Linked DNA regions of Oreochromis niloticus. The protein of the gene in region 1 purifies or fractionates together with the protein of each later gene. This does not show direct contact. Links are inferred from orthologs where the notes say so. Each region holds a gene or a part of one and is shown in the gene's direction. Other genes may lie near its edges.

What was found.
Region 2: the proteins of cdk19 (region 1) and med9 purify together in Homo sapiens (affinity purification with mass spectrometry; 7 studies listed by BioGRID and IntAct, counting the BioPlex papers as one, with this or other methods). This does not show direct contact. The link is inferred for Oreochromis niloticus from reciprocal best matches to the Homo sapiens genes CDK19 and MED9.
Region 3: the proteins of cdk19 (region 1) and med18 purify together in Homo sapiens (affinity purification with mass spectrometry; 5 studies listed by BioGRID and IntAct, counting the BioPlex papers as one, with this or other methods). This does not show direct contact. The link is inferred for Oreochromis niloticus from reciprocal best matches to the Homo sapiens genes CDK19 and MED18.
Region 4: the proteins of cdk19 (region 1) and med31 purify together in Homo sapiens (affinity purification with mass spectrometry; 6 studies listed by BioGRID and IntAct, counting the BioPlex papers as one, with this or other methods). This does not show direct contact. The link is inferred for Oreochromis niloticus from reciprocal best matches to the Homo sapiens genes CDK19 and MED31.

Annotation. Positions count from the first base shown.
Region 1 is NC_031980.2:31,094,386-31,101,867, forward strand, and holds the start of cdk19 (cyclin-dependent kinase 19), read left to right. Parts: upstream 1-4,471; 5' UTR 4,472-5,496; intron 5,497-5,584; 5' UTR 5,585-6,498; coding exon 6,499-6,626; intron 6,627-7,482. Other genes in the region: amd1 (S-adenosylmethionine decarboxylase proenzyme), read right to left, coding at 419-505, 3,996-4,105.
Region 2 is NC_031969.2:20,679,928-20,685,847, reverse strand, and holds med9 (mediator of RNA polymerase II transcription subunit 9), read left to right. Parts: upstream 1-4,574; 5' UTR 4,575-4,654; coding exon 4,655-4,734; intron 4,735-4,937; coding exon 4,938-5,157; 3' UTR 5,158-5,413; downstream 5,414-5,920.
Region 3 is NC_031976.2:26,228,939-26,236,079, reverse strand, and holds the start of med18 (mediator of RNA polymerase II transcription subunit 18), read left to right. Parts: upstream 1-4,136; 5' UTR 4,137-4,294; intron 4,295-4,319; exon of another isoform or gene 4,320-4,556; intron 4,557-4,722; 5' UTR 4,723-4,752; coding exon 4,753-4,825; intron 4,826-6,491; coding exon 6,492-7,048; 3' UTR 7,049-7,141. Other genes in the region: uncharacterized protein LOC109204220, read left to right, coding at 1-11, 89-289, 372-482, 605-645, 754-864. UniProt on the Homo sapiens protein: Component of the Mediator complex, a coactivator involved in the regulated transcription of nearly all RNA polymerase II-dependent genes.
Region 4 is NC_031975.2:31,352,678-31,359,264, reverse strand, and holds med31 (mediator of RNA polymerase II transcription subunit 31), read left to right. Parts: upstream 1-4,034; 5' UTR 4,035-4,215; coding exon 4,216-4,225; intron 4,226-5,016; coding exon 5,017-5,091; intron 5,092-5,173; coding exon 5,174-5,270; intron 5,271-5,384; coding exon 5,385-5,601; 3' UTR 5,602-6,066; downstream 6,067-6,587. Other genes in the region: slc13a5a (solute carrier family 13 member 5a), read left to right, coding at 299-460, 746-883, 980-1,108. UniProt on the Homo sapiens protein: Component of the Mediator complex, a coactivator involved in the regulated transcription of nearly all RNA polymerase II-dependent genes.

The DNA of each region.
Region 1 (7,482 bases):
AGAGCATTGTTTCCCTCATTACATTCTATGATACAGAATGATGATTAAGTAAGCCTGGTATCTTTGTAATATCTACAAAAGGTCATGTGAAGGCTTTCCCCCCCTCTTTTTTATAAACAAAAAGGACAGGTGAGCAAAAGGAGGAAGGGAAAAAAGCCACACCCTAGTTCCCATTCAACTTGTCATACTTGTTTGATTACCCAAGATGAGTGTAGCTTACTGGTTTCAGTTTAGGCTTCGTGTTAGTTTTATCTGACATGCCCATACTTGCCCTACCTTAACACAACTACACACTTATCTAAGGACTGCATGTGGCATGTAGAGTACATGCCCATATTGGCACCTGAGACTGCCATTAATGGAAATTAGGTTAAGGTCTATTTGGGAAGACTTTCTGCATGTATGAGCAGGCACTCACCTGAGTATATAAGCTTCCTGCTTGTCGGTCTTTGTCACACTTATTATCAAACAATGCACATTTTCCAAAAGTTTGTCCCACTCAAACCTGAAAGAAAAAGAACAAGTTAAATGCATACAAAGACAAAGTTGTTCACTTTTGTGGTCATTTTAAAGTGGCACCCACTACACGAAAGAACTGTTGATGGTTATGTAACATGGACAAGTTTGGAATGCTTTCAGGATTTTGAAGAGAAATGTCTATGAAGCTTGCTGTAGTCTTTACGCTGAAAAAGTAAGTGCATATAACAATTTCAGTGCTAGAGTATGCTGTGGGCATACAATACTGACATATCAATGGAGGTATTGTTCAGACTGAAATGTGTTTTCAGTCATGTGCAGATGGCTGTAGGGAAATGTGGACTTATTCTGCTCCTACAGCAGACATACACCTTCTAGCAGCTGCCTCTGCCCCCCGAACACCACCCAGACAGCTGGGTCACATTACAACCTTGGAAGAACAGCCAGACCCACTCACAGTGGGGGCCTGGGCTGCAAGGCAAAGCTTCCAAGAGGTAAAGTGTTCGATGAAAGCATACCAGCAGCTCAATAATGAATGCTTTATGAAACTGGCTTTTCTAGAGAACCTCTCAAAAACAAATGCCCCTGAGTAACCAGACTGCAGCAGTATGCATGAAGGCTGTGGGCAAAATGCAAGACCCAATTATGTTCCTTTCTACCTTGTCAATCTACAAATGAACTAGATGACTGAGGAAAAACAAAAAAACAAATAACCAAATAACAATGCATCCCTCAGACATGGTTCTGAAGACACCAAATTCAAGAATAGTACAATTTACACTGCAGCCTTTTGCATTTGAGCCTAATGGTCCAAGAAACTAAACTACAAATATGTTTACTACCTTCCAGTGCCACAAACACTTCATCTAATCCCTTAACAACATTGTCCTCAGAGAGTGACAGGCTTACGTCATCTGTTGTGTACATCACTTCCTCCCCCCTCCCGGGGGGGGGGCAGTATGGTATCACTGAGTCAAATGTGCTCCAATATCAAGTTTCAAATAAGGTCAACACATGAACAAGTAATCAGTTTTCAACTTCCAGCTCTGTATACTGTGTGAGCCCAAAACACCACCAATATAAAAATCTGGTTTTTAGTTTGTGCATAAGAAAATTGTATAAAAGGATGTGAAGGATTTCCAAACTGCACGTCTCAGAAGACAAAGGTCCTGCACTGAGGACCAACATTGGAGCAAGATGATATGAACTCTAAATCATGCTATAAGCTACTCTAAATATGGAACTGCAGGCGATGTGCCTTTAAGATGGCTTTGTTATACACAAGCTTCTCTTTGGCATTGTCCTCAATGCAAAGACTCAACATCTTTAGTTTGCCATCAAGGCCAAGCCTGATGAGAATGGGAGCATATAGTGCCATCTAAACTCTACTTAATCATATTTATATCATTTGCAATGTCAACAGTGTATTTGGAAGATGAACAAAGGCATTACAGGTATGTCTGGATACAGTTCAGCTCGATCACTTCCCGCAACATGACAGAGCTGTTACGACATGCCTACTTCCCAGCTTCATACCAGAGGCCAAGCATTGGCAAGCTGTGTCAGCTCCTGCCTCGGTGTGAAATCGACACCAGAGGTTATTTCTAGCTGTGCAACAAGACAATATTTTCCTCAAAGAAAGCAAAGTGCCAAACACGATCAGAATTTTCATGTATCCCAGAGATTATGAACACATGGCTGATCAAGACGGCACATGTTGGAACAATTGCTGCTTATCAGACAGAAAAGTGGTCACTTACTGGATGGCTTGAACACCGGGAACACTGCATTTCAGGTGTTTAGAGGTGAATATGCTGTGACTTTATGAACTAGTCACTCCTACAATCACTGGAAGTGTTTCATATGCAGTCTGAACCCTGACAAGGGGCAGCAGAGGTAACGTGAGCGAGCGAGCTTCACATTTGTGAATCCGATGCCCTTGTGGTCTTATTTGGACATTGGCTAACGTCCATCGAGTCTGATCCACTGACAGTGTCCCTTTGAGCCGTTAATCTGCCCTCTGGCTGTAAATTAATGCCAGCTCTCCTTCACGCCAATGGTTACACACTTGTCATAAACCAGCCCCTGATGTGGTTAACGACCAGAAAAAGTCACCCATCGCTGGGGATGATTTGGCCCCCTTGAACCAGTCATGAAATGACATGCTGCCAGAGGGGGAAAAAAAAACAAAAAACAAAAAAAACACCACACTAAGCAAAGGCAACAGACACCATTGACACTTTCACTTACATTAAAGAATCAGTACCATTCTTACCTCTATAGGTGACATAACCCAGGCGATTTTAAACAATCTATTAGTTTTACTGGGACAAGTTCCTCTAAAGTCTTGGAAACAAAAAATTGATTACGACACACGGTACAAGTCTGCCTGTAAGGGTTTCTCCTCGTTAAAGGTTGTTTAAAACGTGCATTTCAAATCAGCTAATTTTCCTAGCAAGCAAAAACCGAATTTCTCACAAGAACTGAATCCACATGGATTTTTCAGAATCTATCGCCACCCCCTGTCCTTAAACGTAACCAAGTGCCCCGCGGCACAACGTAACAGGGAACCCTCTAACCAATCAGAGCAACTGGGAGCGAGCGCACCGCATGGCCGAAAACGTGACCGGAACACGACCATACGCAGTTTCTCTCTGGTTAAACGCACAGCGGTAACAGACATGGGGCCAGCCTGTAGTATCCACAAGGGCAGAGGGACGGGTTCACGGTTTTCCCCAATCACTTATGAGCCTTCAAAAGTAAAGAATTTATTTTTTTTTTTAAATTAAAGGTGGAATTGGAATACTTGAATCTATTTCCGTGCCAACAAGGCAACACGCGGTGACAACGGACGACCACATGTCTCACATGCCCCCCTCGTTGTAGAGTGACGCAGGAAAAAATAAAGCATATGTAATTACAAAGACCAAGCAATTTAGTGCATAAGAGCACGAATATATATATGTAGCAGTGAACGCGAATTGGCAAATAACGACAATATGATCGCCTCTTCACTAAATCACAAGCAGTCTGCACAGCGTCGGCGAAATCAGGAGACGGCTGACAATTTGAATATTTTTTCCTAGGGACTAGCTTGCGGTAGCTCTAAACTGGTTGCCATGGTGGCGTCCAAGCCTCATGCGACAAATCAACTTGCAAAAACAAGCGATGGGAGCCGAATATATTAATTACCGCAAGCTCCCAGGGTGAAGAATGAATGACTCAGCCACTGTTAAAAGGGGGAGGTGGCCATTTTCCAATGGCGACGTTAGCTAGCTCCCTAGCTTAAGGAGCCACGGTTAGATTTGGTTCACTTCAATGCTTGCAGTCTATCCAGGGGTGGATTAATAACTATAATGAATACAGTGTCAACGGAAACGGGACGTGTACGATATTCAAGTTGTTATACATCACAAAAAGTGACAACTGAAGCCGTGCATGTAGCCGGTGTTTCTGTCAATGTACCAATACGCTGCTGTGGACTGACACTGCCTCGGAGATACTCAAGTGACACGAACCTTGGGATGGTACGGAGGTCTCCGTTTCCTTTGGTCTCATCCTGCCGAGAGAACCACACCTCCAACAGCTTCTCGGTCCCCTCGAAGAAATGTGCACCGTTATCTTCCATCGTGAGACAACAGACACCCAACAACCAAAAATATTACAACGTCGTTTAAAACGTTTACAGCTTAATTACTCCTTCCTCGACCTGTTATTATTTAGTGAGGTTCAGTCCTTTAAACAATCCAGGAGTTGATTTGCTTGAGTTACCGTCTTCCCTTTAGCAGAGAATACCGTTAGCGAGCGCTAGCTAATATCGCCGGCCATACTGTGTAAGCGCTGAATGGAGACCGCGCGGTGCTTTTATTTGGCAGTAGCCCTACGTAAGCCTCACCTCGAGCCAATCTGAACGCAAAGCCATATCTTGGGATTTGTGATTGGTCAGAAACCTATCAATTATAATAGAAGGCGGGTCTTCCGCCATGAAACTTTTCCGCCTGCATGTAGCTTTCCTCTGGAAATAAATACTAATTATATATATAAACAGCAACGTCAATAACATTACATGATATCTGAATTTAAGTTTACGAAGGCGAGTATGACAGTTGACGGCATGTTCGTGTAAAAGTCCTTTTCTGACAAGTTTTCTTCTGTTCACGACGATTACGTAACTGCGTTTTTTTCTAACACATGCCATTGTGTTTACTTATCACATTAATGTTTCGTTTGTACGCTCTCTCTTTTTTAAGATGTGTAATTTGTTTTTTCACTTAATGGTACTATAATACTAATGTTAAACTGCGAATATCAAATATAAACCACTTAAATGAGAATATGACCAAGTTGTTAAATTGGATTGAACTAAACTGGACTGCGCAGGTATTCATTTTAGCAAAAGAGTGTACTCATAGAAGGAAAATAGGTGAAAGAAATCCCAAAGGATAATAAATATCTACTGTATGTGTTACAGGACTTACTTGTCTCATCTCATAGTATTCAGGGCAGTGGGAACTCACACATACAATTGTCACCCAATATAATTACAGTAATTAAGTATGAATCACATACATATGACATGACATCACTACATCTGCATATACAGGTGTGTGTGCATGTCAAAAACCTATCGATTATTATAGAAGGCAAGGGTCTTCCATCATGATGTTTTGTTTTTTCATAACCTGTATTTATGGAAGACATTTCATATCTTTACCGCTGTAACTGCACTAAACAATTTTCTTCTTTTTCTTCTTTTTGGCTGACTGTAGTTCACAAAAGTAAAAAATCAATCTGAATCTCAAAAGAAAACTGTCATGGTCTCCGTGCCTGCCCGACCGGCCCCACAAGGCTACAAGTTCTCTCTCTCTCTCTCTCTCTCTCCCTCTCTGACTGGGCGGAGCTCACTGTGGGCTCCCGCCCTTGGCCCACACACCTGACAACAATCACCTGTCATCACCGGGAGCACTATTTGAGGCTGGAACACAGATTCTCTCGTCGCTGGATGATTGTACTACAGACGTTAGTGTTTCTCACAGCTCCTGTGAACCTGTGCTTAATAATTTGAGATTCGTGATTAGTTTGTGACTTCCCTTCTCTTCTGCTTCAGACCTTCCTCCTCGGACCTGTGACCTCCCTGCCGTGTGAGTGTGGGCAAGAAGACGTGAGAGAGCTACCCTGTGATTCCCTGGAGTTTTGGATTCCCTTCACTGTATATATTGTGCACTGGTGCTGTAAATAAACTGTTTTTGGAGACGTCAAACCGCTCTGCCCCTGAGTTCTACAACCAGATTGTGACAAAAATTGTGTCTTAAAAAGAGATGCAGCGACCTCTTAAACCCTTAGATGCTTATCAGAAAAAACAGCAGCTAAAATAACAGTTAAGAAGTTGGAAAACTCATATTATCCCCCGAAAAAACAACCCCCAAAACACCCAGGATGTTTGCAAATATTCTTAGGTTACACATAGCACTTGATATCTTTAAACAATTTGTAATAGATCCCATACCCTTCGGATCACATTTAGTTTGGTGGGAAGTGGTCACTCTAACTATATTAAATAAATACACTGCATAAATACACATTTGTTCGGCTTTTGCAATACCATTATTATTACGACCATTAAATAATAATAATAATCCAGCCAACGAGGATCCGTTTAGCTCATTTACATTTTACGTGACGTTAAAAAAAGGTAACCTCAAACCACCGACGGCCGCATTTTTGAAGAGCTTTCATGAGTACGCAAAGTGCAACAAACAGCAGCGAGAAACGCGGGTTGTAGTTTGCCATAGCTTGCCTGACAACGCGGCGAACTGCGGCGCCTGCTCACAAGAACTACCATACCCAGCGAGCCACGCGCGCCAATTAGAAACGTCAACGAGCCAGTGAACATTAAGCGGAGCAGACCAAAATCCCAAACAAGGAAATGGTGGGGGAATAAAACGACCAGATTATTTAATTAATGCATGTTATAATTAATATTTTATTTTATTGTAAATTAAGGCGTATTTATGGGTTAAAATGGATTACGACTTCAAAACAAAGCTGGCGGCCGAGAGAGAGAGAGTAGAAGATCTGTTCGAATATGAAGGTTGCAAAGTGGGTCGAGGCACCTACGGGCACGTTTATAAAGCTAAGCGCAAAGACGGGTAAGATAACCGTGAACGTTATTGTGTATGCTGACATAAAACTGACCGCGGGATGCATTTTGTGAACACACGCCTCGGTTATGTGATGAACAGGGCGTTCGATTTGAAGCTCCCCGAAGCGATAGCCCGTGTCTCTGTGTTTTTGTTTTCATGTAACGCACTCACTCACCAACGGTCCCCCCCACCTCCTCCTCCGTCCCCAACCTCACAGCTCCCCCCTTTCCTCCTCCTCCTCCCCAACACCCCCAAACAACAGTGTAAAGCCGCGGTGCTGTTTATTTTCTTACAAGTGTCTTGTTGGCGGTCGCAGCAAAGGTAGCTTGCTTTTTGATGCACGGGTATCGTCACTTCGCGCGATAGTGACACCTCAGCGTCTTTTCTTGGCCCCGCTTTCAGCATTGTGGAATGCCAAACTTTTTTTCTCCCTCTTTCTGACACACATTGTTTTCTTTCTGTCATTTGCTGCTTACACTCACTGACAAGCATATGACAGCGTGTGACCACGATGTATATATCAGCAACAGAAAGCAGGACAGATACGTTCTCACATTTCTGCTCTGCTGTGCCAACGGTGTCACTGTTCCTTATGCAAACTGGCAAAATCCCAGTCCAAAAAACTGGCAAAATCCGGCCAGTGCGCATCCTATTTGAATACTACAAGTTTCATTTGTACGATAGCCAAGTGGTTAATCACTCTGATCTAAAAATTACATTCAAGAAAAGCACCGTTAACCAAGGGCACAGTGCATTAAGAGCTGATTTTGCTGCCCCCGTCTTACAAATGCTTTGTCATAAAGTTTTCTCGAAATCTGAGATGGAAAAACTAATTTTAAGCATTAGATGAACTTATTATACA
Region 2 (5,920 bases), on another chromosome or scaffold:
AGTGAAGTAGTGTTTATTAAATTAAATGCAAATTTGGATTGGATTATGACCAGCAGCTGACTGGCTAGCTCTTTGGTGCACATAAAGACACTTTGTGAAAGCATCTTTCCTAGAAACTTTTATGAAACCAGGATTCACATGATGGGAGCAAATCTCTTGTCAAATAAAACTTTCACTTTGCCCTAAATCTAAATAATACAAGAGAAGTTCATTTTATTGGGAAACGATTTGTTTTAATGATGCACAGCTTCAGTGACTGTGTCTTTCATATAGAGATGCATGCTAAGATTAGACCACAGATTAGCAGACAGGACATCTGCATCCTGTCAGAGATGCTGGGAGGTGACACATCTGTTGGAAACTGTCAGCTGCCCATTCACGTCATTACAGAGGCTGAGTGGGGAAAGGCAAGCCACTCGGGGACTGCTATATAGGGGTTCAACTGGAAACATCCTAAAGTCACCCAGGCTTAAAAGTTATCTATAATTCCCTTGTTAGCTATAAATCACAAGTTTAGTCTGGGCTCCACATGAGATATTTTCCAGGGCAAAGTGGTTTTTTACTGCTGAAGTTCCTGCATAGAAACCTATGTTCAGAGCTAGAAAATAAATAAATCACACTTTGTTTTGAAGTATGATGATATGAATACTTCTCAAGAAATTTCAAGTAAGAAATAAAATAGGAGCTTTGTGTAAAAAAAAAAGAAAAAGCAAACAACCAAACAGAAAACAAAACAGAAGAACTACTTAGAAGAGTTTTTTCTGTTGAATAGCTAACCATAAACACGTAAATGCATACTCCATTTTAATAAACATTACTGGGAAGGATATACACTGTAAAGAGTGTATATCCTTCCCAGTAATGTTTATTAAAGGTAGGCTGAGGTTGATATTTACAGTTGTCCTCTGTGAAATTTCACAGAGGACAACTGTAAATATCAACCTCAGCCTACCTCCCATCTGAAAATTGACTTCTCCCTTCTTCTGCCTATTTCTGTTGAGATGATTAGATGTGAGAACTGTGATCTTTGAGAACTATGAAGGATCATGCAAGTGTGAATAGATCTATGAGCTGAAAGTCATGTTTAGAGCTCACAGAACACATGTGACTGCATATACAAATCATCATTCCTTCACTACTACCTGTGATATTTTCTAAAACCTCAGTACCTCTGCAGGCATTCAGGCACTTTACTTAAAAGTAGAGCCACTGACATTTTCACTAAATATTACATAAGCATAAGAAGCACGCCCCAGCACTGTTGACTCGTATGTGCTGTTGGCAGCAAGTAAGTCCTGGATTTGAATCCACTGGCTGGCTGGGGCCTTTCTGTGTGCAATTTGCACATTTTCCCTGCGTCAGCATGGGTTCTCTCTGGGTTTTTTGGCCTTATCCCACAGTCCATGCAAGACATGCATGGGGTTACATTAATAGTGATTTTAAATTTGCCACATTGTTCTCTCTGTTAGCCCTGCAGTAGAGTGTGAGCTATTCAGGGGGTACTCCATATTTCACCTTTTGGCAGCTTGGATAGGCTTCAGCCTTAAACTGGATAAATAGAAGAAAACTGATGACTAGATTGATTACAGAAGCATTTTTAAAATCCATAATTTAAAAAAATAAATATTTAACATGGATTTTCCTTAAATGTATTAACATTTTCTTAACATTTTCAGTTGCACCTCGAGGGGTTGACAACAGGTATTTGATTTTGCAGTTTTATGCAAAGTAGGCCAATTACAATAAAACAAAATATAAATCATAATTAAAATGTTTCATTTCTGAATGCTTTTCATACTTTTCACTTAATGTTATCACTGTCACTGTTTTCTCCGAATGAATAGTCACTTGAGTATCAAGAACAGGACTAAAGACGATGTCACTAATGTTCAAGAAGCCTAAAAACCAGACCACACCACAAATAAAAAATGTTCAGTCAAATAAAGTCAATGAACTAAATTCTTGTGTTCATATAATAATGTGATATTTATTCTCTCTACTGTAGCCGTTGGGATATTTTCATACCTTTCTAATAATGCTGGGTCACAAAATGACCTGCTTTTTAAAATGTATTAATGTGAGGTGTCAGAGCTTTCCCTATGACCCAATGGTAAAACACTTAGGGAACATAATGCCCTACAAACTCAATCTAGGTCACCTGTACTAACTCATGTAAGTTTGAGCAGTATGTAACACTCTGTCATACTGGAAATTAGTGTGAGGACTGAGCTTCTGGTAGGATCTTCAGTGATGCCACACAGTGTGAGGCATGAGAGAAAATGTTTCCTCAGCTGCACATCTAAATGTGAAGTTAAATCTTAATAAAGATGATCTTAAATATTCATTGGCTGTGTCACAGAGGTGGTCTCATTGCTGCAGTGACTAATGAGAATGCTTCCTTATAGTGTTTACTAGGTGTGGGTAATGAGTGTGCCAGGCAAGGGAAGAGGAAGGGAGCAGCTGCTGAAATTAAGCTTTGATGAAAACAAATAGCCATGAAAAATATAGGTCAGCAGGGTTTAGAAGATCAGATAAAGAGATAGAATTGATTCCACATAATTTAACCAGCTATAGCATAGACTACTGAGCTTTTGTTTTTTAAATGAAACCACAAATTTCTTAATTACATCTAAGTGCAGATTATGAGCTGTGATGTTGTTTATCAAGGGTCTCTATTAACTCGTTTTTCTATCATTAGTTAAACACTAGATGAGTCTCTTGCAGAATCATTGAAGATATCAGGTTGGTCACTGGTCATTAGCCAATGAGGCTAATGACCAACACAGAGACCTGCTGGTGACTAATCTCCCAGGAATATGGGTCAATGGAAGGGAAGACAAGACAGATTAGTTTTATATTTGCACAGCCATGACAATTTATTTAAAAAAGGTATTGATTACATCATGTTTTCTAGGTTTATCGAATGCCACTATTCTGCATTAATCTCTATAACCTGAATACACCACATCAGTTATCTGTAAAATATAAATGCAGTAGGACATATTGTAGTCCATTAGATTATATTTGTGCATGTCAAAGTTTATATGGGTTGCCATGCTTCACTCAACATGCATGACATGTGTCACACTTGTAGGGATAGTAGATTGCATTTACTGCCGATATAGATGTTTCAGGTTGCTAGGTATTGGGATGTGAAGCAAATTTTCCCACTCATTGCAGGTCAGCTTTGTTTGCTCGGTGTATTAATGGATTATCTGGGGCTTATTTAGGGGCCAGTGCGTGCTGTCGTGGGTTTCATTCAAAATAATAAAAAAACACCCGGGGAACGTTTTTAGCATAAACAGTAGGGAAAAAAAAAATAGGTTTCATGGGTTTCTCTTAAAATAGAAATTCATATTAGGCCTGTGCAAATACCTCATGGCACACATGCTTAAAAATGACTGAGAGAGACAGAGAAACAAGAGGATTAGTATTCTCTTGTTATCTATTTGAGGAAATCTTAGATGTATGTTGTAAAACCCTTAATGTGCTACTTTCATTTTCTACTTTTTTTGTAACAAGAAGGACAAATTGTATTCATTTTTAGCCCTACTAATTAGCTTTAGGCTAACCGCCACTTTAACACCTTAGGCTCAAGATGAGAATACAGCACCTTCGTTTCCTTGATGCTGTGTAATGAATTCAATGAAAACACTTTAAAGAAAAATGATGTTGACATCCTTTCTTCCTCAGCTTTTTTCAGCCTATATCTCTTGAGGTCAAAATTCCCTTTTGTGTTTTCATAGTCCGTTAGGTGCGCAAAAGAGAGCCTAAATCAGCAAAAGGAATGACAAAATGTTCATTCTGCCTTTTTATTTATTTATTTCAAACATTTTAATGAAAAACTAATCTCCTCTATTTTGTCTTTCAGTGTGATTCACTTTACCTGTGTAGTCTGCATGTCCATTCATTCATTCATTCATTCATTGCTCTTTTTCTTCTTTGTCCTGTTTTTTTTTTACTTATTTTTTTTTTTTTTACTTTATTTTCATGAGTTTTACACACAACCTGGACTTGTATAGCAAAAAAACACGCAAAAATACCTTCTGTAAATGTGTGTGTGTTTGTTTATGAACTCCAGGTCAAGAATGTACTTATTTTATATTGTGGCCCACATGCAGCCCACTTTTATCTTAAGTGGGGTGAACCTTTCTACCAGCGAATTAACTGCACATTTAATCACAGCGATATCTTAATATTTGAAAAAGAAGAGCGACTTTAACAGTTTTAGAAATGCTGCTGTAGTAAATGAAAGAAATGTATCAAAAGTGTAAAATTTGTATGTAAATGTGTAAAACACTATGTATTTATTCTGGCGCGCGCGGGGGGGGCATGCAAAAGTTTTTAAAATAACTTTAAAAGTCAAAAAAAATATACACTCATTCACACTTTTTATAGCATCCAGTGGGCCGGATTGCAGTCTTTGCCAGCCGGTTCTGGTCTTATGTTTTACACCCCTGATCCAGGTAAACGAAGAAAATACGTACAGTACACAGTGCGTATCCACCCAATTACAAAATGTAGCACTATATCGCGAAAAGGTCGAATGAACAGAAATAAATATTTCTATTAGTTTTTTACAATTCGAGTGTAGTGACGTCATCAGGTTTGTGCCTGACGTAAACAATCTGCGTCGGGAAGCTGGGGAAGAGCGATGGCGACAGCTCAGGCGAAGCTTGACAAAGAGAGCGATGACTGCTCTCTGCTGCCTTTAGTTCATGATATTATTAAATGGTAAGAGTATTTATTGGTTCGTGTGTTGTCACACTGTGTGCTGTATGCGCGGGGCAACACTTGCTTGTGTCAGTCGCTTGGTGGAGTTGCTATGCTTGTTTGCTGTGTTAGCTGAAGCTAATGTCGATAGCTAAAAATGTTAAGTGTCTGCAATAACAAAGCAGACGGATGACGCCCTCTTCTTTTTCCCCATTTGCTTAAAGCATGGACAAAGACAACCAGGATGTCCTCCAAGAACTTGGTAAACTAAAGGCAAAGATCCAGGAGGCTCGGGAGCAGATCTCCAACATGCCGGGGATAGACAGCAGTCCGCTGGAGCAGCAGCAGCAGCTGGCCACGCTGCGGGAACAGGTCCGCACGAAGAACCAGCTGCTGCAGAAATATAAAAGTCTCTGCATGTTTGATGTGCCCAAAGCATCATGATACTAAAAGACTTTGTATGCACGCAGTATGGAGGAAGCGAGTGGAGGTGGCGTGATTCAGGAACACCGGATGGACATTGAAATAATAACCGTCTTTTCTTCAATTGTGTCGGACTGCAACATGTTTTTGAACTTGTCTTTGTTATTTGTGTTATCACAGTGCAAATTTGTTTATATGATATTTGTATTAAATTGGGATTTTCACTTTTTTGAATCCCATGATATTGATACTTTGTAATAAATTGTATTTTATATAAGCTTCGCCCTTTAAGGTTATTCGGAATAGATAAAAACAGACTATGAACCATGGTGAGCTTCTTAAGGGCTTCTTGCAGTTTTAATCTGCATGTTTGTGACGTGACAGGATGATGTAACAAGTTCCGCATTTTAATAGATGGAGAACATTTTTCCAGTTAAGGGAAGCCGAAATCCGGGAAGAGTGTGAAGCCGTGTTGTGTTTAATGCAACTTCTTTGAGATTTGCTTGAAATGAAAAAGAAGGGGGAGGCAGACTATAAAAGTAACAAGTTTTATTTTCTTTCATATGCAAAAGTCAGGGTAGACAATAAATACACATTTAGCATTAAATTTGATCATAATGCAACAATCAAGTTTCACCATGGTTGAAAAAGCACAGTGAAGTGTAAACATGTTTCTTTTTTCCTCAAATGCTGCTCTTAGAAAGCTAAAATAGAGACAGATTTACAGCATTTTCAGAGCTTCTACTGCACTACACAGAGATTTATGAGCCGAGCTAGTTCACAA
Region 3 (7,141 bases), on another chromosome or scaffold:
TGTAGTTACAGGTGAGAAACTAACACACAAACATCATTGTTTCATAGTAGAAGATAACCTGATGTAACCTTTTGATCTTTACTTACAGTATATGACAGTAAGGATTCATCTGCATCTTGTGCTGTGACGTGCGGCATGAAATCCAATAATCCAAACAGAACTTCAACTACATCTGTGCATGTACATTCACACGGGTCCCTAAAGTGCAATATAGATTCAGTGTTTGATGGATACACTACAGTTACTATGAGTCCCACATTTAGCACAAACGCATTTAGCACAACAACAGGTGGGTGTTTAGCCATATGCTGTTTGTGAACCTTTTACACCTGAATCAAAGAAATAATAATATTTAGTTTTTGGTTCCACAGGTTTTGAAAAAGAGCCTGAAGACTGGATCCCACTTATTTGTGGTATATCAGTATCATGTGTCATTTTAATGGCATTTATAATTTTTTGCTTCAAATCAAGATTACATTCAGGTAGGCTATGCAGCTGCGCCTTACTTCCACTTCCTGTGTATTTCATTGTTTTGTTTTAATGGTTTGCATGAAAAATTTCCCCCCATGATTCTGAATATACTTCTGCTTCTGTCTCACCAAAGCATTTCCTGTTCAAAATTGTTGCTGTGGCTTGAATAGCAGGGTAAGTATCTGTGCTGACATTGAGGTGTAACCTAAAACTCTCATGCAGAAATGAAGTGTGTGCGTGTTGCTTTGTCTGGGTAATGAAATTTATTGCTTTTTACTGCAGGTGGAAGAGGAGTCTTCAGTGGTTTATTCATCAATTATCATCAGGACACCTGGCAAAAGAATTAATCACATGGCCTCTAGTGATTGTGTTTATTGTGAAATAAAAGTATAGAGAAAAAAAGGTCCAGGATAAGTGAGGTCACTTTTATTTATATAGCACATTTTAAAACAATATGGATTGGTCCAAAGTGCTTTTCAGTTGACTGTTAAAATAGGTAAGGTCATTAAAGGGCACTGTTTAGAATTATACTTTCCATCCTTGCTGTCATTTGATTTAGTAACTAATTCCTCAAATTACTTAAATTGTAACTTCACCCACATGTTGCTCAAGGGAAAATCTGAAACCATGAGTCTCTTTTTCCAACAAAGGAATGATTTCTAATCGAATCTTTAACTGAACTTTTACCTAATTCTCTGAAAGCCGGGCAGATGTATATATCTATATATATATCTATTTACTTAGCACTTTTAACTTTTATTTTTATGGTTATTTAAGCGTTGTTTGACAGTATGTTTTGCACTAAGTACCACAGCAATTTCCTAATGTTGTAAACCTGCTCAACATTTGGCAATAAAACCCTTTCTGATTCTGATTCTGGGTGTTTTAAAGTACATGGATCGATAATTTTAATGAGAGGCTTTGAGTGTGATACAGATGTTATGTAACAACATTTTTTTTGTTGTTGTTGCTCAGTACAGAGGTGAGGTCCATTCATGAACTGCATGAAAGCACAGTTTCTGGTTACCTTGCAGATCAAGTTAAGATAAAACAAATGTAGGTAAAGAAGTAAAGTTGACCTCAAAATGTTACAGCAATTAAATGCTGCTTTCACAAAGAGAAACTTTATCAGGTACATTAAGTTACTCGAGCTCAGCAATTAAAACAAATTTACAAACAATTTATATTTTTTTGTTAAAAGAAAAAAACACTTATTACACTAAATTTATTTTACAGCTGTATTTTGCTTTGCAGTTTTAGGTTTTACATAATCACCATATAAAATATGACCGCAGTAAAACAGCATCTAAGCAAAAGGTTGCATGAAGAAGGCTGTTAAAAGTGTTAAAACCGCAGCAGTGCTGCGTCTGCAGTGTTAATCAATAATGATCATCAGTGATAGCAAAACAATAACACCCTGCAGATAAAAGGTTATAGTATGATTATTACTGTGAGAAATATGTGTGTTCATACTGTGAGGACATTTTGGTGAGGATAGTCACTGAAAATAATATTTTGGATCCTTTTATTTGTTAAAGTGTTTTATTCAAAGTAAAGTATACAAAAAAAGTGAAAACAATAGAAAAATAGTCTTAAGAAATAAACCAAAACTCACTAAATGCGTTGTTTGAAAAGGCAACAGACAATAAAAAAATATAAAGGAAATGTTGTTTAGTCAAAGATGGAAACACAAAGAGGAGGCTCTGGTGAAAATGACTGTGAGTCAAATGTGTTGTACTGTACTGTTTTACTTATATTTGACCTATGTCACTAATACCACCCACGTCATAAAAACAAAAACACCAACACAGAAACTAATAAAATGCAAACTTATCATTTAACACTTAAAAACCAAACTGAAATCAGAAAATCCACCCTGAAAACTAAAATAACACCAAAATCAAAGGTGGAAAATCCTAAATTAAAATAACAATGGCAGTATTCATAGCAGTCATCTCCGAATAGCCTAAATTGAAAACAATTTGAGTACCACAACACCAACCAACAGAGACAGACAGGACATGACACACAGGACAAACCACTACATCACGATCTGTCATTGGTGGCAGTGTGCACAGCTCTAAGGAAAACAAACCCAAATAAGGCAGCTGACCCAAATAATATCCCCAGGCATGCACTCAGGGTCTACTCATCAGAGCTGGATGGTGCATTCATAGACATATACAATCTGCCTATGCTTTGAGTCCACTACCAGTGGGCCCCTCTCCAAGAAACATACTGCCACATGCTTAAACGACTATCATCCTTTTGGACTTACATCAATTGTGATGAAGTGTTTTGAAAGGATCAAAAAGACCATCCTGGCTACCTTGGACTCTTTACTTTATGCACACATACAGAATCAGTCCACTAGAAGGTAGTAACACGTCTGTGAAAATGCTGTTCGTTGACTGAAGCTGCATTTAATGCTGTCAGACTCACACCCTTTCTCTGTAACTGAGCTCTGAACTTCCTGTAAGATAGACCCCACTCAGTCAGAGTTGGAAACCAGACATCAAACATCAGAACTGTGAGCATTGGTATTACTCAGGGGCATGTGCTGAGTCCACTGCCACATGCTCTCTTCACATATGAGTGTGAGCATCCCCCTAATCAATACCAGAATTATAAAATTTGCATATGAAACTAAAGTAATTGGGCTGATTACTGGCAGGGATGGCATAGAGAAGAGAAGTGAAATGACTAGTGGCCTGGTGTCAGGAAAATAATCTTGCCCTAAATGTAGATAAGAGCAAGGTGATCTGAGGAAAAGACACTCCAAGACAGAGGTGGAGGACACACATGAGGATGGATTTCACCTGGTCTCACAACACCCAGCAGGTAGTGAAGAGCACATTGACTGTACTTTCTAAGATGACTGACAGGGCTCAGCTGCACTACTCAAGACAGGAAGACTTCAGTGTGCGAGAAAAACTGCACAATAAATCACAGGATCATCTTTTCATTAGTATAAGACATTTACACCACCAGGGCTGTCAGCATTGCCCACATCAACATTAAATACAACACAAACTCACAACACCACCAGTTAACAGGTAGGTGGTAGATGCTAAAGGTAGATGCAACAGGAGTCTGAAATCAAAGACTGTAAGTCTCAAATCAGACTCATGAATAAGACAGTCAGTGTCGCCTCTCTTCTACCCCATCAATATTATTGACTATTAGTGTACTTATTATTACCTGCTATGGCATAAATTTGTAAAGACCGGCTTGCAAATATGGACAAAGCAGGTACAACTCGGGTTTTCAAACTCAGGTCTGTTTTTAAAACTAATTTTAGTGTTTGCATTTTCAATACTTGCAATCTTTGTAAATTTTCTGGATTCTTTATTTTTATTTTATTTGAATAATTATGTTTGTTTTGTGTCAAGAGATTGGCAAAATTAAGTGTAAACTACTGCTTTTATTTCCACTGTATGTATGCCAATAAAACCTCTAAACTTAATGCTCAGTAATATATACTTTTCACAGTACTGTGAAAACAGTAATAGTTTCCACAGTACTGATAATCCATTCGTATAGCCTGTGTTAATAAAACCAGAGTACCTATAGTCTAAAAAGCCTGTCTGTCCATGACGTCCATGTCCATTTCTTTCTATTTTATGCACAGATGACCTGCTGTCGATATTTTTAGCACTACCAGTAGGTGGCTGTAATGAGCCTCAAAGTTGGATGTCTACCGATTTGACACACCAAAGGAAGACGCTTCTCATTCATTGTTGTTGCTAACTGTGTTCACTTTTTCTTTCATAACTAAAAAGACGTTTATTTCTTTCCGCGTTCGCTTCTTTGTTTTTGAAAGGTAATATATTTTTAATGTTTCTGTAATAACATTGAAACGCTTAGCCTGGTAGCTTAAGTAATGTTGCGGTTAGCTACTAGCAAACCGAGTAGCTGTGTAGTAGTAGCCGTGTAGTAGTAGCCGTGTGTTTAGAACCCTGTTTAGGCCTTTGGTCAATAGTATTAAAACGTTATCGAGAACGAACACTTAAAACATTTACCCGGTTTTCCTCGGCTACTGCTCTTCGTGGTTTCGTAGACAATAGTGCAAACTGTTGTTTCGAGTGAGTTACACTTAGATTAGTGTTACCACCGGCTATTAGCGAGCTAAAAGTTACAAACTCTGTTACCTATGGCGACAGGTGGAAATTTTTTGTTAATGATGGCATTGCTCCATCAGATGTTCCGACATGTATATATATGTATCTGCATATAATTTTCTTTCTTTAGGCCCAAAAACCTCAAAGTACCCGAGGAAAGATGGAGGCGCCACCTGTTACTGTAATGCCTGTCACTGGGGGCACAATTAACATGATGGAGTATCTGTTACAAGGTAAGATATCATGCATCCGCTGAAGCAAGTAAGCAGGTAAATAACTAACAAGCCCTGAGTGTTATACATAGCATATAGTACTGATAGTGGCAATACTACAGATAGTAGCTTATAGTAACAAAAATGCAAAGCAACAGCAATAATCATTTAATAGTTGCATTGTGCAACTGTTCAGCACAATGAGTAAAGTTACATCAGCAACAGCCTTTGGTGTGAAAGTGAATAGTGAATGAACAGTGTTACATATGTCACGTTTGACCTAAATTATTATGCACTAGCTCCTAAATGGTAAATGGTAAATGGCCTGTATTTATATAGCGCTTTCTAGTCCCTAAGGACCCCAAAGCGCTTTACATATCCAGACATCCACCCATTCACACACACATTCACACACTGGTGATGGCAAGCTACGTTGTAGCCACAGCCACCCTGGGGCGCACTGACAGAGGCGAGGCTGCCGGACACTGGCGCCACCGGGCCCTCTGACCACCAGTAGGCAACGGGTGAAGTGTCTTGCCCAAGGACACAACGACCGAGACTGTCCGAGCCGGGGCTCGAACCGGCAACCTTCCGATTACAAGGCGAACTCCCAACTCTTGAGCCACGATCGCCCCACATGACCCAAATAACAGCTAAATTCTTATTATAATATTATTACAAATAATTTTTAAAATGGTGCATTTACAATGTTTAAAACCTTATTTCTTAACTTGGTCACTCTGTTGTAGAATACTGTGGGTCTTCTCCTGGACCATTGCAGATTTGTTTAGAAAATGTATGGTCCAAAGTTTGGCCATTTATGATTGCTGTGACATTTTACCTTGTATCAAATACTTTTCAAGATATATTTTCTTTGAAATATGGACCATTGACCCTCTTCCAGCATTTTTTTTGGTCATACTTTGAAACCAGATGTTTGAACACAAATATCTGTTAAAGATAATAAAGAGAAAAGGATATGATTTCCATATCCAGATCTGCAGATCCAATCTGTAAAGTGTCATATTTAAACGCACACCAATTTTTAATGGTATACAATTGAATTTCACAATAATGCAAAATGGAAAATTATTTCTTAGTTATAAAAATGAAAAAAATCTTTTTTGGGGGGTTTAAATTTCATGCTGCATTGAGCAAATGTGAAGTTGTACCACAAAAACGAAAAATAGTAATGCATAGTTTAACCCAAATAGACCAAAATTCTAAATTCTGGAGGTTTCAGATGGTATTCTAATTACAACAGTAAAAAATATTTTGATTTATTGAGATAAGTTTAATAAATCAAAATGAGTATTTCATGACCTACTGAACTGTCTTATAATTTACACTAGGTTTAAAATATTACTGCGTGTGCCCTGAAAGTGGGTGGATGTGTTGTTTTTTTTTTTTTCTTTAAAGGAAAATCCTTGAGGTATTTGATATATGAAGCAAAAATGTCAAAGCAATCATTATATATGTACAAACTATGGACGATCTAAGATAGTTAAGCCCATAATGTCTCTAAAAATATTATGATTTGAGTTTGTAATGTTTAAAATGTGAGCTCTTAGCTGTTGATTTTCTCTGAGAAATGTTAATGGAGACTATATTTATAAATATAATATGTATAGAGTCCTAGCCAAATGTAATTTTTTGTATTTGTTCCTTGTGCACTTTATTGAATCAGGGAGTGTGTTAGACCAGGCCCTGGAAAGCCTCTTGCATCGCCTTCGAGGTCTGTGCGACAACATGGAACCTGAGACTTTTACCGATCATGAGTTGGTTTACCTTCTCAAAGGCCAGCAAGGAAACCCCTTCATTTTGCGTGCCCGCCGTTCCCTCTCCCACCCAACTGCTCCATGGCACCTACGCTACCTTGGTCAATCTGAAGTGGGAGACAAGAGTCGCCACGCTTTGGTACGCAACTGCGTTGATGTTGCTGCCTCTCACAGCCTTCCGGAGTTCCTCAATGAGATGGGCTTCCGCATGGACCATGAGTTTGTCAGCAATGGACACATATTTCGTAAAGGTGCAATGAAAATTGTGGTCAGCAAGCTGTCACGCATACTTGTACCAGGGAATACAGAAAACACTGAGCATCTATCACTTTCATACCTGGTGGAGCTGAGTGTGTTGGCTCCTGCAGGACAAGACACTGTGTCAGAGGACATGCGCAGCTTTGCTGAACAACTCAAACCCCTGGTTCACTTGGAAAAGATTGACCCTAGCAAACAGAGACATTAGCCAGTTTTCCACAAAAAGGAACTCTCTCCGGGTGACTGGGAACCTTGGGAGGGACTCCATGAGTTTCCACCAGAGGAACTAGGTCTAAGTCAA
Region 4 (6,587 bases), on another chromosome or scaffold:
TGGCGGCCTTCTGTTAAATTCTTTTATGCAACCTTAGTTTTGATATTTGTAGAAGGAATAAACTAAAAATACACTTTGATAGCCAAGAGAATAACACAACTAAGACTTTGTGAGTAAATGAAAACGAAACGACTCTTCTGCTCTGTATGGGCACAGTGCAGATGGTTTAATGAGATTAAGTAAATCTTATATAATATGGAAAAGTAAAGACACCAGATCGAGTTTTCATTAATAGTAAAGAGAAACCTTTGCTTTCAGACTCAGACTGAAGTCCTGCTTTTTCTTGTCGGTTTTTCAGGAGTCTGGTTTGTCACGTTGGCTCGGTGATCAGATGACGCCGCTCCACTCAGTCCCTCCGTGGGCCATCGCCATCATCCTCTGCCTGCTCGTTGCCACCTTCACTGAATGTGCAAGCAACGTTGCAACAGCAACTCTCTTCCTGCCCATCCTGGCTTCCATGGTACCAAAAACACAGGCAACACAGACTGTATTTGTACATATGCATAGTGTGATGTAACAGTTCATTATCATCAGCATACAGTAGAAGTACAAGCTGCTGCACTTCCTACAGATGTTTCATATCATAAGGTGACAGAGAACAGAAGGAGCTTCACCCTTTGAGCCACTGACAGACGTTTATTATGATACATCTGAACAGGAAGTGTTGAAATGTAACAGGAAAAAAAGCCATTGAAGCCAGTTTATCGGTAAAGTTGATGACTCTGTTGTCCTTTTCCTGACCCAGTCCCAGTCCATCAGCTTGAACCCTCTGTACGTGATGATCCCCTGCACCCTCAGCGCCTCCTTCGCCTTCATGCTGCCGGTGGCCACCCCACCTAATGCCATTGTGTTTTCCTCCGGTTTCCTCAAAGTGTCCGACATGGTGAGTTCTTCATTTCTTCCAGTTGGAAAGAAATAATCATTCTGATTCATTCTGTCATCATAGCCTCCTCTTCCTCTGCCACTGTGCCCCCTACAGGCTAAAACAGGTGTGGTGATGAACATCATCGGCATCGGCTGCATCAGTCTGGCCATCAACAGCTGGGGTCGGGTCCTGTTTTCTCTGGACACTTTCCCCTCATGGGCCAACGTCACTGCACCCGTATAGGAGCAACATCCTCCCACATCTTTATTTATGCACATAAAAACTTTTTCAGGTTTGATCTTTCAGCTCCAGCATCTGGGCATTTCCCTGCAAGGAGTTTGTTTTTTATATTCGTGCTGCAGCACTTTCTGAGCCACCAGAAACATCATCTTGATTTTGTTGTTTGTGTCATTGTGCATGTGCACGTTCTAGTAAACTGTCTACAGAGTAGCATTAATGGCAATTAATGGACTCCCACATACAAGGAATATAGTCTACGTTACCTTTGGTGGATTGAAAAACTAGATCTACCTTTATATGTTTGTACATGATGGTGTTAAATAAATACACACAAACTGAGGTTACAGTTTAACATAGAGTGCAGGTTTTAGTATTTGTTCATAGTGTCTTTAAAGCAATCTTAGTGCCAAACAACAACAGCTTCATGCACAATTCCAAGTCCACAAGTTTTAAATGGATTCTTAAAATGAGCTGGACTGTGGACTCTAACTACAAACATTCAAATTCTTGTTGCCCCTTTAATTATAAAAAAAAGAACTATTGAATGACATTGATGAACATTTAACAGCTGAAAGAAACCTGAAATTAAAAAAAACATCACAGGCTTTTAATTTGAAACATCTTCAGAAAGCTGTACTGTCAGGAGTGTAATATTATTTTTTTAAAGGCATCAAAAAAGATGAAGAAGCTGAGAAGGATGAAGGATGAAAGCACATTGTGAGTAAACCATGGAAACACGGAGAAAGTTTAACAGAGGGTGAAAACAGGACCTAAACAAGATGATTATAAAACACTTAATAAAGTGTTGTCTGTAATAACAATGTCATATAAAATTGTTCTTTTTGTTTGAAGTAAAATAAGAAAAACTGCTGCTCCTGATATTTATCTGCTCATCATAAATGTGTGAAACTGCTTGTTAGCAGGTGTGCCACAGGGCTCTGTTTCAGTTTATGTTAATGAGATTGTTTCTTCTGCAGAGGATACTGTATTATAATTTTCTTCCTGATTGCTGTGAAGTTTTTTTCTTTGTGATTATTTCGCTGTTCTGTGTTTTTTATTTGGAGGACTGACTCTAGAAGAGCTGCAGCAAAACTTTACTGACTGGGAAAATTCCCAATGAAGAAACCACTATTTTCCCTGTGAACTGGAATTATTTTAGCGTAATTAGTAAATATGCTTCACATTTTATATGGTTTATATTTAAACATAATAACACAGTTTTTATGCGAGCTGATGAGTGTGTTCTGTACATATGTGATGTTTTGTACCATCTTGTTAACAGTTTTATTTCATATTAATAAAGATCGATCTTTAAATGCACTTTTTGTAAATTCTGCTGGGTTTTTTTAAACGAACATCTTCCAAAGTGAACTAAAGTTTGAACAGAAACAAACAGAAGCTTGGATTTTATGTCAAAAACATCTAAGTTTTATATTGAAGTGATATCAGCTGAAGTTCAGCTGATGCCAGGCTGCACTTTCATGCCGTTTGTACCAAAAAATGGTGCAGTGCATCGATGTGGCTGAAGAGCAGGACACTGACATTGAGGATAAGACTAAAAAGAAGAATTTTAAATTAAAACAACACACATCCAGGTGAAACTCTGCCCCCCAGTGGTCAAACTTTTAGCTGCAACTTTTATCTGGGGGAGGAAAAATGTGATTTGGACAAAATGATTTACTTAGATAATTAAATGATTCTTTTGCCACTTCAAATGTCCACTAAACATTAAATTAGCAGTGTCCAATATTAGTGGGCATGCTTTTCACTCTGCACTTGCTTTGAAAGCAGTGACAGGGTCTAGTCTAGGACGTCACTCTTGTTGTCACTCTTGTTGTCACTCTTGTTGTCACTCTTATTGGTTTTGGCAGAACCTCTCAGCTCAGCTATGTTGGCTGCAGAGATTGAGTGACTGCCAGGTGCAGCTCTCTACATAGATGCTTTATCAGGTTCATGTCCAGTCTCTGGCTGGGCCAGTCCAAGCCTTCCTGTGTTCATGATGATGTGCTTTGGGGTATTGTCCTACTGAATGATCCTGCTCTGCGTTTGTTTTTCGCTCTATGTTAAAATACAACATCCCCACATCCCTGCAGTCGGTGCCTGTATTCTTCCACTCATATCACTGTGTGTTGTGTCACAATATTTGAACTTTGGTTTCATCAGACTGGAAGATTTTGGTGCTGACGGTCTGATAAGCATTCGGGTAACTTTCTGCAAACTTCCAGCAGACTTTTATATATCTTTGAGCACCAAACCTGGAGATTCTGCAGGGGTGAAAAGCATTCGGGTAACTTTCTGCAAACTTCCAGCAGACTTTTATATATCTTTGAGCACCAAACCTGGAGATTCTGCAGGGGTGAAAATTAGACTCTGCGTGTGACGGTTTACACAAGGACAACATCCAACATATTTTAGAGGGTAAACAGGAGAGAACCTTTACACTGACAAAGACATATACAGCCAATATGTGTTCAAACTGAAGAAAGCTGTGCTTTGTTTTTTATACTAATACAAAATCTAAAAAGAAAGGTTCTTAGTTTTGTGTATAAGTAGCAAAATGTTTTGAAGGATTGTATAGAACAGAGGTCACCTGTGACCTGAAATAGTACATGATCACAGTCACAGTATTAGCACATTAGTTGGTTTTCTCATCATCTGACTGCACCCTGATCAGTATAGTAAGTACATCTTCAGTGCTTTTCTGTGCATGAAAAAATTGTTACTATTATTATTATTATTATTATTATTATTATTATTATTATTATTATTATTAGTTATCCTGTGAATATTGCGCTCACATAAATTATTATTATTATTACATAAGTGTAATCAAGTTATTTGTGGTAGTTTGAAGGAGCTTTTTTCTTGTCGTCTGTTGCCTCCCTCTGGCGGCCAAACAACGAACAGCAGGCGGCGTAAAGCGACGTAGATGTCGCGAAGACGGCGGAAGTTTTACGTCATTTAGTCTGCACACGTTTGATAGCAGCGATTAAACCTGAAAAGAGCAAAACCCGGCTTTCTTTTCTTATTTTTGCCTTTTAAACATTTTTAGACAGTTTATCTGACATTTAAGTCCTTCATCTACTTACTGGTGCCTTCAGGCTGTAGCCATGGAAACAGGTTTGTAGCAGATTGTTTGATCAATGCTAATCTGCTAGGCTAATATTTCCTGCAAGACAAAACACCAATAAATCCGTAAGTTTTACTTTGTTGGCTTTAAAAGCCTGTCTGTGAGCAGCTGATGGTATTTAGATGTGCTCTATCTTGTTTTTCTACTTTGACAACGAGGCTTTTCCCAAACCGACAAAGCGGCGTTAAATTGTCACTTTTTTAATGGAGTCTGGCGGCGCTGGGATTACTGGTTTTATTTAAGGGAGTTAAAGGGAGCAAAGGTTTGGTTGTTTTTAAATGTGGTTCAATGTGTTGTTAAATACGTTGGTATACTCATGATTAGCTTTAAGTCAGGCTGCAAAGTGTCGGTCTTTTCTGTCCTGTTCACTACGTCGCAAGAAATTATTCAGATTAAGAACAAACTTGATTTATCAGCTTAAGTGAGTGTGTTTGAAGATAACCGGGAATGGACTCTGAAGACTGTACTCTGAGACTCGCGCTTTAATTCGGCTCTCAATAATTCACCGTTACATTAAATTTAATTTCCAAACTGCCTGTTTAAAGTTTTCAGGGTGGATTAAAACAATGTGTCTTTAAATTGCTATTTTTTCTAATGGAGTCTGGTATAAAAACATGCTTTCTCATGGCTGTGTTATGTTGGCGTGTGTGTAGTGTGAATTGAATCCTTTGGGACATTATTACTGTAATTAAACACGTGTGCTCCTGATGATCTCAAGATAATCGGTGTTGTTGGGTTTGAATGTCGTGTTACTGATTAACTCGTGTGCTTCCCGGTGCAGAGGAGCAGGCCAGGAACCGTTTCCAGTTGGAGCTTGAGTTCGTCCAGTGTTTGGCGAATCCCAACTACCTGAACTGTGAGTGATGCTGTGATCAGAAACTCTCGCAGCTTCACGTTTGCCAGAGTTTGACGGAGATTTTGTGTGTTTGTGTTTCCAGTTCTGGCTCAGAGAGGCATCCTGAGGGACAGATCCTTCATCAACTACCTGAAGTACCTGCTGTACTGGAAGGAGCCCGAGTACGCCAAGTTCCTCAAGTACGGCGACATGTTTGATTCTTGGTTTAGACAATTTTCTGTGTGAGAGTAAAGTTGTGATGTTTGTCAACCTTCTGTCAGCTGACCTCTGCTCTGTGACTCCGCCCACTGCAGGTACCCCCACTGCCTGCACATGCTGGAGCTGCTGCAGTACGAGCACTTCAGGAAGGAGCTGGTGAACGCTCAGTGCGCCAAGTTCATTGACGAACAGCAGCTGCTGCACTGGCAGCACTACTCACGCAAACGCATGCGGCTGCAGCAGGCACTCGCCGAGCAGACGCAAGCGCAGCCGCAGACGGCCCCGCCGCACGGCAACGCCGCCGCAAAGTGACGACGGAGTTGGAGCGCTGCTGGGATGCCAAGGTTATTTCTCCATTCACATGAACATTAAAGACTGCAGGGGAGGAACTGAGGTGGGAGCTGATCAGCTGATGGGAAGCATCAGCTTTGACCTTCCTGTTGCAATTTTCAAGTTAAAATTTCTCCTGGATTTATGGATGTGGCTATTTCCTGGAACTTGTCAGTCCAATGGTCTCAGCAGGAAGAGACCGAAACAGATAAGACAGCAGAGGTTATAATTTAAAGTGCTGCTGCTCAGTCAGGTCCTACCAGCTGCAGAGTGAGCTCCTGCCTGATGGGGCATGTTTTTACCTGCGGCGATCACCTGAGTGTCCAGTTGAGGGAGAGGGGTGTGGTTGGACCTTTTTTTCATCCTTTGTTCTAATAAAATGTTTGAAATGTGAAGAGTTTGTTTCTGTTTGCGTGTTGATGAAACCAATAAAGTTATGCAGGCTTCCTTTGTGTTAGTCAGCTCAATAACAACAATGACCTCCTACATCCTTTTCCTAACCTCTTTTCCTTGACCTGAAATATCCTGATGTGAAGGAAAGGTGGGAGGAGACTCTTAGAGGAGGTGGTCTGATGCAGGTCACATGAAGAAGATCTCGCTTCATCACAAAGAGAATTCTATCACGGCCAGTAAAATAAAATAAATCGGATTTTCTTTGCTTTTCTTTTTTCTGTCAGAGCAAAGGTTCACTCCATCATCACTTCTACAGCAGAGCATTAAACAGTGATTCAGTGAGGGTGGCTCATGATGTACATTTTAAAAGGAAACGCAATCCTTCTATTTTTAGATCCAATTTAAAAATTGAACTATTAAAAACAGATCCTGTGGAAAAGAGCAGAGCAACAAGACAAAGCAAAGCATCCCCAGGCTGCAGAGCCTTGAGCACAAGCGACAGACAACGACACAACAGACAAAGAGAGAGAGCCCTCCTGGACCCTCTGTTTATTGGGTGTGTTGTTACCTGCTGC